Saccharomyces cerevisiae S288C: one gene and its partner. The gene in region 2 interacts genetically with the main gene of each other region. Each region holds a gene or a part of one and is shown on either strand. Other genes may lie near its edges.

Region 1 (5,095 bases), on a different chromosome or scaffold from region 2:
ATACTGTATTTGAATATGCTTCAACCGGAGTAATTATCCAGTAGTGCAACGCATCTCATTCCAACTTGAAATATACGTTTACAAAACTATTTACCACTTGTATTTCTGCAATAATACCAAAATTCATGCAAAATAAACACCATCATTACTTGTAGTTGGAAGCAAAAAATATTCTTGATTGATTTTCAATTGCCAGGCTCCTTATCACTTCGTCGATGAGCCAAAAAAAAATGTAGTTCCTATTCTGGTATCAAAGCATTTTTCTTTATTGATAACATCCGCATACACAGAGAAAAGGCGAGAAGCATGAAAAGTGTCAAAAATATTGAACTAGAGTGTACTGTTATAGTTTTGGCAGGTATGAAGACAAAATGATGGCTTTTTACATATCAAAGTAACTCTGTACTATAGATAGAAGAATAAAAACTAAATACATGCAGGTGACTGATAGAAAAGACAAGTGCAGGGGAGAAAAAAAAATAAAGAAATGATAGCGTTCTAAGAAAAGTTCTAGTCATGGATAGTGTCCTGGAGCATAGCCGAAATAGCCATTTGCTGTATCAGTTATGTTCTTTAGAGGATAGCCAACGCCATCGGCACCAGCATACGGAACTGTATTGCCCCACCAATTAAAAGCTGTGTCTTTATATTGGACAGCAAAGAAAATGATAATAGCTGATAAAACCAAGCCCGTTGAAAAGCCTGCCGATAAAACATAATTATATTTCTCCCACAGATTTAAATGGTGTCTTTTCATGTAGTACTGGGAAATGTAACTAACAATCATACCAGAAGTGTAATACATCAGGTTATATGGAGGGCTCATATTAAGCATTCCACCTACAAATAACATTGGGTCAAAATATCTGGGATAAAACTTACCCCAGCGCTTCCAAACACCAAAAAATATGCCAATGCATGCGCCTATCAACCAACACCATTTAAATATTGGATAAATGTAATTGAAAATTCTTTTTGGCCCAATTGCACCCCAGACAACGGAAGCATTATAGTAGGTCACAGCATCAGGACAGGTGAATTTTGCGTTTTGATGAGGTGTGCAAAAGTCTTTGATATTGGAGATTTGCCAATTCAGAACACCTAGATTGACAAATATCTGAATGAAAACTATAACACATTGTCCCCTGAATAGCGCCATTGGCGGAATCTTACAATAATGCGCTATTTTTAAGTTAGAAACGTAATTATCTGCTTGGCCGTCGATGTTATAACCAAAAGCCTTCAAAATCATTATGGCGATTGGATTACCTGGTAAAGCGTACCCCATCACCATTTCAATTAGTAGATTCAAACCAAACGAATAACCAGTGGTTGCTTGAAGGATAGTAGTTGGAATCAAGAAAACAAAATTAAATCCTAAACAAACAAAAAGACCCCAAACTGGTGTATTTGTTGGGTAGTGCTCTACAACAGCTATTCCAACAACAAGTGAACCTATCAATATGGCAAAATACCACCAATCTGGAACTTCTTTATAGTTTTTCATGGCATTAGAATGTGGGTCATCATAATCGTCGAGCGCCCTGTAATCGCTTTTGAACATTGTGACCCAAGATTTAAGTTTTCTCATGGCCCACAAATTCAAAGCCCAATCTTTGAAAGCATTGAACAATAACTTTGAGTGTACAATAAACGACCATGTAATCATCAGAGGATATGCGCAAATGAAAGCACCATATGATACCAAATTTCCAGCACTATAGTATGGTGGCGAGTAGCTTTGATATTTTTTCACATCTAGCTTATTGTCACTGTCTAATACCTCAGTAACTTTAAAGGAATGGCCAGTATTAGTATACAAAGAATTTGTGAATATTGGCAGGTATTGGCAACTCATATAATTACTATAGTATACTGCAATAACAATTAAAGCTGCTAATATGCAACCAAGATATTGTGTTAAGTATGACCAAAATGGGTAAACTAAAGGAGAATTAAACGAAATAACATTCCAGTCAAAAGATGAGATAGGATTAATCCCAAGACCAGTGACTCCTCCCGTGATGTTTGCGAGATTAATGTTACTTGGCTTGATCCAGGTCATCCAATTGAAAGTGTTTAGAATATTAATAATGTAAGTGGGAAACCAGTTATAGATGAACATGATAAAAAAAGTCAAGAAAAAGAATTTATACCTGCTCATTCCAGATTCATGCTTTTCTTTACCCAATAGTGCCTTGTTGATAGCAATAGTTGGCATGACTGTTGGCCATAGTGCACGGGCTGGATAAACAACGAATTTTCTAAGGATGCCAGCAAATCCAAATCCAATAAATTGTACGGATAACGAAAGTAAAAATTGGTAGCCAAACGAGAAAGCAGAATGGTAAAAGAGTTTTTGCGTTAGAATATTGTAATGAGTATAGAACGCGCCTTGACAAATTGCATATAACAAGGTTGAAAACATTTGCTCTTTTTGGGTCCATGGTTTATCGATATTGATACCATACTTTCTGCCCCTGATGGTTATAGTCCAACAGGGGATAGTTTTAGCCCAAGCCTTACCACAGATATATAAAAACATTTGGATAATTGGAGTATTCAGTGAAATTGAAACCACCCTGTGTGAAAAAAACTCATTAAATCCTGAACCGATGACAGACCAAATTATTGCCAGAAAATATGCTCGGAATGTCTCCACTGGAATGGTGGGATCATCTTCTGGATCAACAACAGCTCTAACCTCTTGGTAAGGCGAATGAAATTTAATAGCAGAAGCAAATGCTCTAATGTCAAAGCTATCATATTCATCTATCCCCTCTTTTGAATCCAAGTCCTCCAAGTCAACCAATCTCTTCCACTCCTCATATTGATCGTGTGGAATGTTCTCATCATCCTTGAAATAGATGATAGAGTCTTTTAGTATTTTGAAGGAATCCTCAAGTGTCAATTCAGGCATTTTTTTGAGGATATACGCAACGTCTTCCGGAATATCATAAAGAGTGCGATTTTCATAACCCAGCTTCTTCATAAAGTGCAGTATCTGTTCATCCGTATACCACTGAGAAAAGTCTGATGAATGATTTGAAAGCCTCTCAGAATACTCAGCACCCTCGGCGTAATCAACAGTACCTTTTGTGGATACCTTCTCATCAATTATAACTTTATCTTTGACTGTTTCACTCATAATTTCTAATAATTCAACAGCAATATTGCGTATAACAAACCCTACTAGTTGTAGAATAAGCTAATATGTTCGTTTCTGCTATTAAAAAAATGCCGCCGTTGTTTAGACGTTCAATGTATGATTGTAAGTGTTTCAAATATTATTTTTTGGGATGTTTCGATAGGAATGAATATAAGTAACAACTGACTTGAGACATGACTTAAGTTTACACAGGATAGTGTTCCATTCCCATTTATAAATTTTTTTGAAGCGAGAAGAAACCTAGCAAGTTGATATCAATATTTTTTTTAATGTTACTTATCTTCATTGCTAATAATTCGTGAAATGATTGAAAATTTCCAATCCATGAACATTCAGAAGTAAGATAACAGCGTCCAATTGTAAAAGAACGCTATTATTATTGTAGATAAGAGAATAAACTTAAATAATCGAAGGTGTTACGAATCTTCATAAAACCCAATGGGCTGATATTGACAACCGCAATGGCGATTCACGTGTTCGGTAACCACAACAGGGGCCAAGAGGAAAACAAACTACATCAATTTTTGCAAAAGGTTAACAACGAAATGTGGGATTATTGAAAATTATAACGAAGAAACTACGTCGGACAGCAACCCCCCGATTTTTGTCGGTTGCTTTTACTGACACCATGATGTGAACCAAATTTTCTTTTGGTATTCCTCGCATAGTGTTGACTTCTTTTACCATGATAAAAATAATGAGATAAGAAGTGTTGCAGTAATATTATGTGTCACACCAGCGTGGCTGCCATATTTGAGACGGATTCGTCCGGTGGATGTGATGGATCCGTTTAATGCTGATCTCTCCTGCATTTTTTGTGAAAAATCAGATATCAATTATTGGTCTATCTGCTTTTGCCTGTTTGTTTTTTTTTCATTATAGAGTTCCTCAGTGAGTGGGATTGATGATGCGCACGGCACAATTGAAGCATTTGCTTATCAAAACATAAATATCTCCGTACCCAAATAGGAAAAACGCGTTAATGCAAAGTTGACACGTTCAGTTACTATTTCCTGAAATAATAATACAGCCCACAAAAACCCACCAATGACGCTTTTGTTGCTGAATCAGACGTTAAGTGCTGCTGCCTCCTCTGTTCTGCGCCGCCGGTTGTCTCATTACCTTTTCTGCCTATGATGATTGTATTGCAAGGCCCGAGTGGTTGCGTATGCCACGTACGAAAAGTTGTTACCGTGCCGTCACATCCCCTGCAAAGAATGTGGTACGGCACACTCCTGCTAGCTTGAGGCCCTATTCCAATGGCAATTGAGATGCTGCTTTCTCCTCTTACAATGTATGTTGATGCTTCCACTAAAAGAGGGATGAGAGAATTCATTTGACTGTGCAGTCAAATCTGTGATCTTTCTATTCTTGCTTATCTATATTCTGCCCTATTTATTTTTAGTAAAGTTTCGTATTTACATTTTTCATCATAGATCGCACCAGCGCGTGGGGCTCTTTCATTATCATCTCAACTAAATGACATACATTGCAAATACGTGAAATGAGCTGACTCAAAAAGAAATATTCTGAACTGTGAATACCAAACAAACTTAAAATAGCTGAAATTCACGTGTTGAATTACCGCATCGGTTAAGGAAAGGGAAAGTTTCTTCTCTAAATAAGGAGGAGCCTTTGCACATATGTAGATTATGTAAATACTATACTCTTTTTTTGCTTTTAGTACTTGGTATCCTACTAAATCTTTATTTTCTTTCGTTAGTGAAAAATATGAATTGAAGGATCAGTTCCTTCAAAAAGGTAAGAAAAGAAATGGACCATTCGATTAATGCTGGCACCAACATTCCACAGCACGGAATACAATTTTTGGTGTCCTTTACTTCAAGATTTGTTACTACGTGCGGCTTAGAATAACTTCATTATTTATCTAAACGACCCATAATTTTCGATGCTAAAGTCTAAAGT
Region 2 (4,078 bases):
GATGATGACGAAGATGATGAAGCAGCAGCAGCAGAAGAGGTGGTTTTAGAGGAAGAGATGGAAGACTGGCTTTCACTCGTTTCAACTGCTTGAGCACTGCTGGACAAAACAGTAGAGTCTTTAGTGTAAGAAGAAGGAACAGCAGGACCGACAACGGTATTGGTGGAATCGGCTGTGACTGTTTGACCATTACTGTCGACGTAAACAGTGGAAGTAACTTGAACATATTCAACAGCAACATCCCTCTTGTGCTGATGCTTATGTCTGGAGACAACAGCTTCACCTTCCTTACAGGACTCGATTGATTGTTTCTCTGATCTTTTCTTCAAAGCATTAGATTCACCATTTGGGTAGTAAACACCAAATTGTAGTAACTCGATCGGACCCCTGAAATGAACAGATAGTTCCTCGTTGAAGGGAGCCAAGCTACCAGAAGCAGTGAAATCAGCTTGGGTACAAGCACAAGAAGATTCATCCATATTGGTGACATCTTGGTAGGTAGCAGATAAACCGACGTTAGAGTAAATGATGGCATCGGTTTGAGCACAATAGTAATTACCGCCAGAGTAAGTACAATCAGCGTTCACGAGTGACACAACTGAAGAAAACAAACCGACTAATGCGGTCATGGAAAGCTTTTGTAACATTTTTTTCGTTCAAATTCCGTTAGGTTTTAGATATTTTATGGGGTGTAAATGGAAAAACGAAAAGGTGAGAAAAAGACGTTCTATTGAAGGAGTGACTAGAAGTTGGATAAGTTAGGTTGGTTTGAGTTTTGATTCTGGAGTCTTCTTGCGAGAAAAGAAATAATTATAATATAAAAAAAAATTGAATGGAGATAAGAAGTTTAACTAGCAAAGTTCGAGAGATATAAAAAGTAGAGATGCGAAAATAAAATTAAAACAAATCTGAAAATAATGGAAGTGAAACAAGGCTAAGCAAGAAAATTTTCTATATTGCCAAGACAGGAACGTTTGTGATGAATCACATCTGCATTCGTGGTATATTTAAATGAAAATCCCAAGTTTCGAATTTTCACGTTTGCTGTACGACGAAAAAGCGTGGAAAAATAAACAAAACCAGCACTAAATCGCCAACGAAAAAGGAAAGTCGCCAACGCGAAAAGAAAAGAAAAAGCGAGGCGCAGATCTCGTGGTATGTGATATCGTGTCTAATGACTTGACGTGGCTTTTTTTCTTGTCGCCATCTGCGCTTACTTGCGTTATATCAAATATAATTTCAGCACAGCATTACATGCAGAAATAGCAGGGTGCAGAGGTCGAAGTAGATAGAGGACAACACCTGCGATGGCCGTACAGACACCAAGACAAAGACTGGCTAATGCCAAGTTTAACAAGAATAACGAAAAGTATAGAAAATACGGTAAGAAGAAGGAGGGCAAAACTGAGAAAACCGCACCTGTGATATCCAAAACTTGGTTGGGTATTCTTCTGTTTCTTCTCGTAGGTGGTGGTGTTTTGCAACTAATCAGCTATATCCTATGAAGCAGTGGCAAATTGCATATATAAGTGTACAGTGGAAGCAAGTACGTAAATAAATAAGCGATTTCGAATAATAATAACAACAAGCATAAGGCAGTATTACCCGCGTTGTCATTTATGGATGCGAAAAAAGATGAAGTAATTCAAGTGCTATTGTGATTTACCATGCCAATCAAACGTGCAACAAAGATGAGTATGAGGGGGGACCCAGGCATAGTACACAGAAAAGCTTTGTAGACTGTCTTTGTTTTCTTAATTTTTCAAGTAGGCTTTCTGCTTTTCTTCTGTACTTATCGTATGCTGGGCCGGGCACTAATCAACAAGTATGGATTTTTAATTCATCCTAGGAGATTTGTACATTTAAACGATAAGTCCCTTGATGGAACATTTATACTACCTTCGAAGAAAAATCATATGTATGATGTTCCAACTAATGATCCAAGCGGTATCCTGAATGCCTCGGATATCGATAGAATCAATAATTTGCCATTTTTCGATAACACCAGTCCGACAAAAGAGACAAATACTAAGGAAGGAGCATTGTTGAGCGAAAAATTGGCCAGCGTTAAAGAATTATTTGGAGAAGACCCTGAAAATCCTTCGTTTATCAATTACAGATTCCCCAGAGGTTTAGAGAATCCCTATTTTGACATTCAAGTAAATCAGCTAAAGAAAAAACGATTATCCGTCACACAATTATGCACTACGCAGAATTGGTGCGAGTTAAGGAATTTTTACGACTTTTATTCTCAAAATTTGTCTAACCAACTACTGAACTTAAAATTTCAGGTGCAGAAAGGTAAAAAGATTCATAAATCACTAGAGGACGAAACGCATCCTGAATTAAATCAGTATAAAAGCTTTACCCACAATTTCCTTGCACTGACAAAATTATCTATGGATATTGATAATGATATGGATGCCCTGCTAGATAACTGGTTCAACTCTATCAATAGATTGGTCTCTTTATTCACCAAAGGTGACGGTCATGCAAGAGAAATAGTTTGTCATGGCTTCATTAACTTAGAAGATGGCAAACTGGTGGAGCATTTGCTGAACAGTGATAGCAAGACAAAGGAAAATGTGATTATATCAGGTGTTATTGACCACTTAACTCTTAGAAATAGGCACAATCATCAAGTACAGAAAGGTGCAGCTCATCTTGATACGGAATATCAGAGCTGGGGTAATATCCTCACTAATTTACTATCAAATCTAAAAGAACTGAAGTCGAATAACGAGATTGTTATCTCTGATATCAAAACTAGGTCAGTACCAAAAATACCATCTATTGAGTCCGTTATAGAATCCTCTAAATTACAGACAATGTATTATAAGTTTTTTTTTTCCCACCTTAGTCAAGACATGACACAAACCTACCATAGCTTTTTAATCAATGCCCAGAGAAGAGGACTCGACGTTGATGCGCCCATAAATCCTACCAAGATTTTAACATTCATACTAACAAACCCACTCTTCGCTAATGATGTGAAGAACCTCCTGTACGGACTACCGATAAATCATTCTGCTTTCGATAACGACGCCAAAGGCTCTAATACATTTGATATGACCGCGTTCAATGATTTGCTGGATAGAGGTCCCACATCTTTTAACGTTCCGATTGAGCAAGACGAAGATAGTTCGGAGTCAACAAAATGTGTATCTTTGCGAGATTATGGACATTTTTATACGAAATGGAAGACACCTCTAACTTTGAAATACTTTGCGGCAAGGTTATCACAGATCTATTTTATTGTGGGTAATCTCGTTTCGAATGATTTAATGATAGAATATTATTACCATAACGATAATTTCCACAATATCATCTTCCCATATGATCCCTTGAAACTGGGAACCCATGCCCATGATTCTGCAATGGTTTGGTTTGGTGGCAGAGATATGCATCCAATTGAGCCTACTCAAAAAAACTTCAACACATACTGTAAGTTTTGTGACTACAGACACGTTTGTTCTTGGAAAAATAAAAATGAATTGAAACTTATTGATCTAGGGAAAGAATTAAAAAAAATTATTCTTGAATCAAGTATGAAGTAGTGTAGGTATTGTAACATTATTTATTCTAGTTATTAAAAGGGTGTTGTTTCGTGAATACATTGAAGTCCTTTATTGGGTTATTAAGCACATAAATCTGTTTCTGCTTTCGGACGTCCTGTTTCAATAAATCGGAATTGAAATGACAATTTAATTTAAATGTATATATGCAACTTTCATTAAGAGGTCATTAGGTATTTTAATGCGGCCTTCTCATTCATCGGAACGATGTAATTGCCTTTAGAATTAAAACCCAAAGAGAAACATGTATACACTTACTAACTCTATTATGTTTGGATAGAGCTCCTTGATAATTCAGTTACAAAACAAATTATATGTATATTCAATGCCATTTAAAAAGTATGCATCTACACTTTTTTTTTGCAAATCTTTATCGCTATAACTGTTCCTCTTTTATAACATCAATCAACCAATCTAAACCTTCGGTAATACCTTCGCCTTTAATTGCACTGGATGCTACGATAGACCAACTTCTGTCCTTCAATTCTACAAGATTCAGTTCT

The links. A genetic interaction does not mean that the proteins touch.
Region 1: mutations in EXO5 (region 2) and OPT2 impair growth when combined (synthetic growth defect), as found in Saccharomyces cerevisiae (one large-scale study listed by BioGRID).

Annotation. Positions count from the first base shown.
Region 1 is NC_001148.4:923,790-928,884, forward strand, and holds OPT2 (Opt2p), read right to left. Parts: upstream 3,149-5,095; coding exon 515-3,148; downstream 1-514. Other genes in the region: YPR195C (uncharacterized protein), read right to left, coding at 4,176-4,505. UniProt on the Saccharomyces cerevisiae protein: Transports tetra- and pentapeptides. Does not transport glutathione.
Region 2 is NC_001134.8:563,924-568,001, forward strand, and holds EXO5 (Exo5p), read left to right. Parts: upstream 1-1,799; coding exon 1,800-3,557; downstream 3,558-4,078. Other genes in the region: TOS1 (Tos1p), read right to left, coding at 1-647; YSY6 (Ysy6p), read left to right, coding at 1,308-1,505; Arf family GTPase ARL1, read right to left, coding at 3,952-4,078. UniProt on the Saccharomyces cerevisiae protein: Single strand DNA specific 5' exonuclease involved in mitochondrial DNA replication and recombination. Releases dinucleotides as main products of catalysis.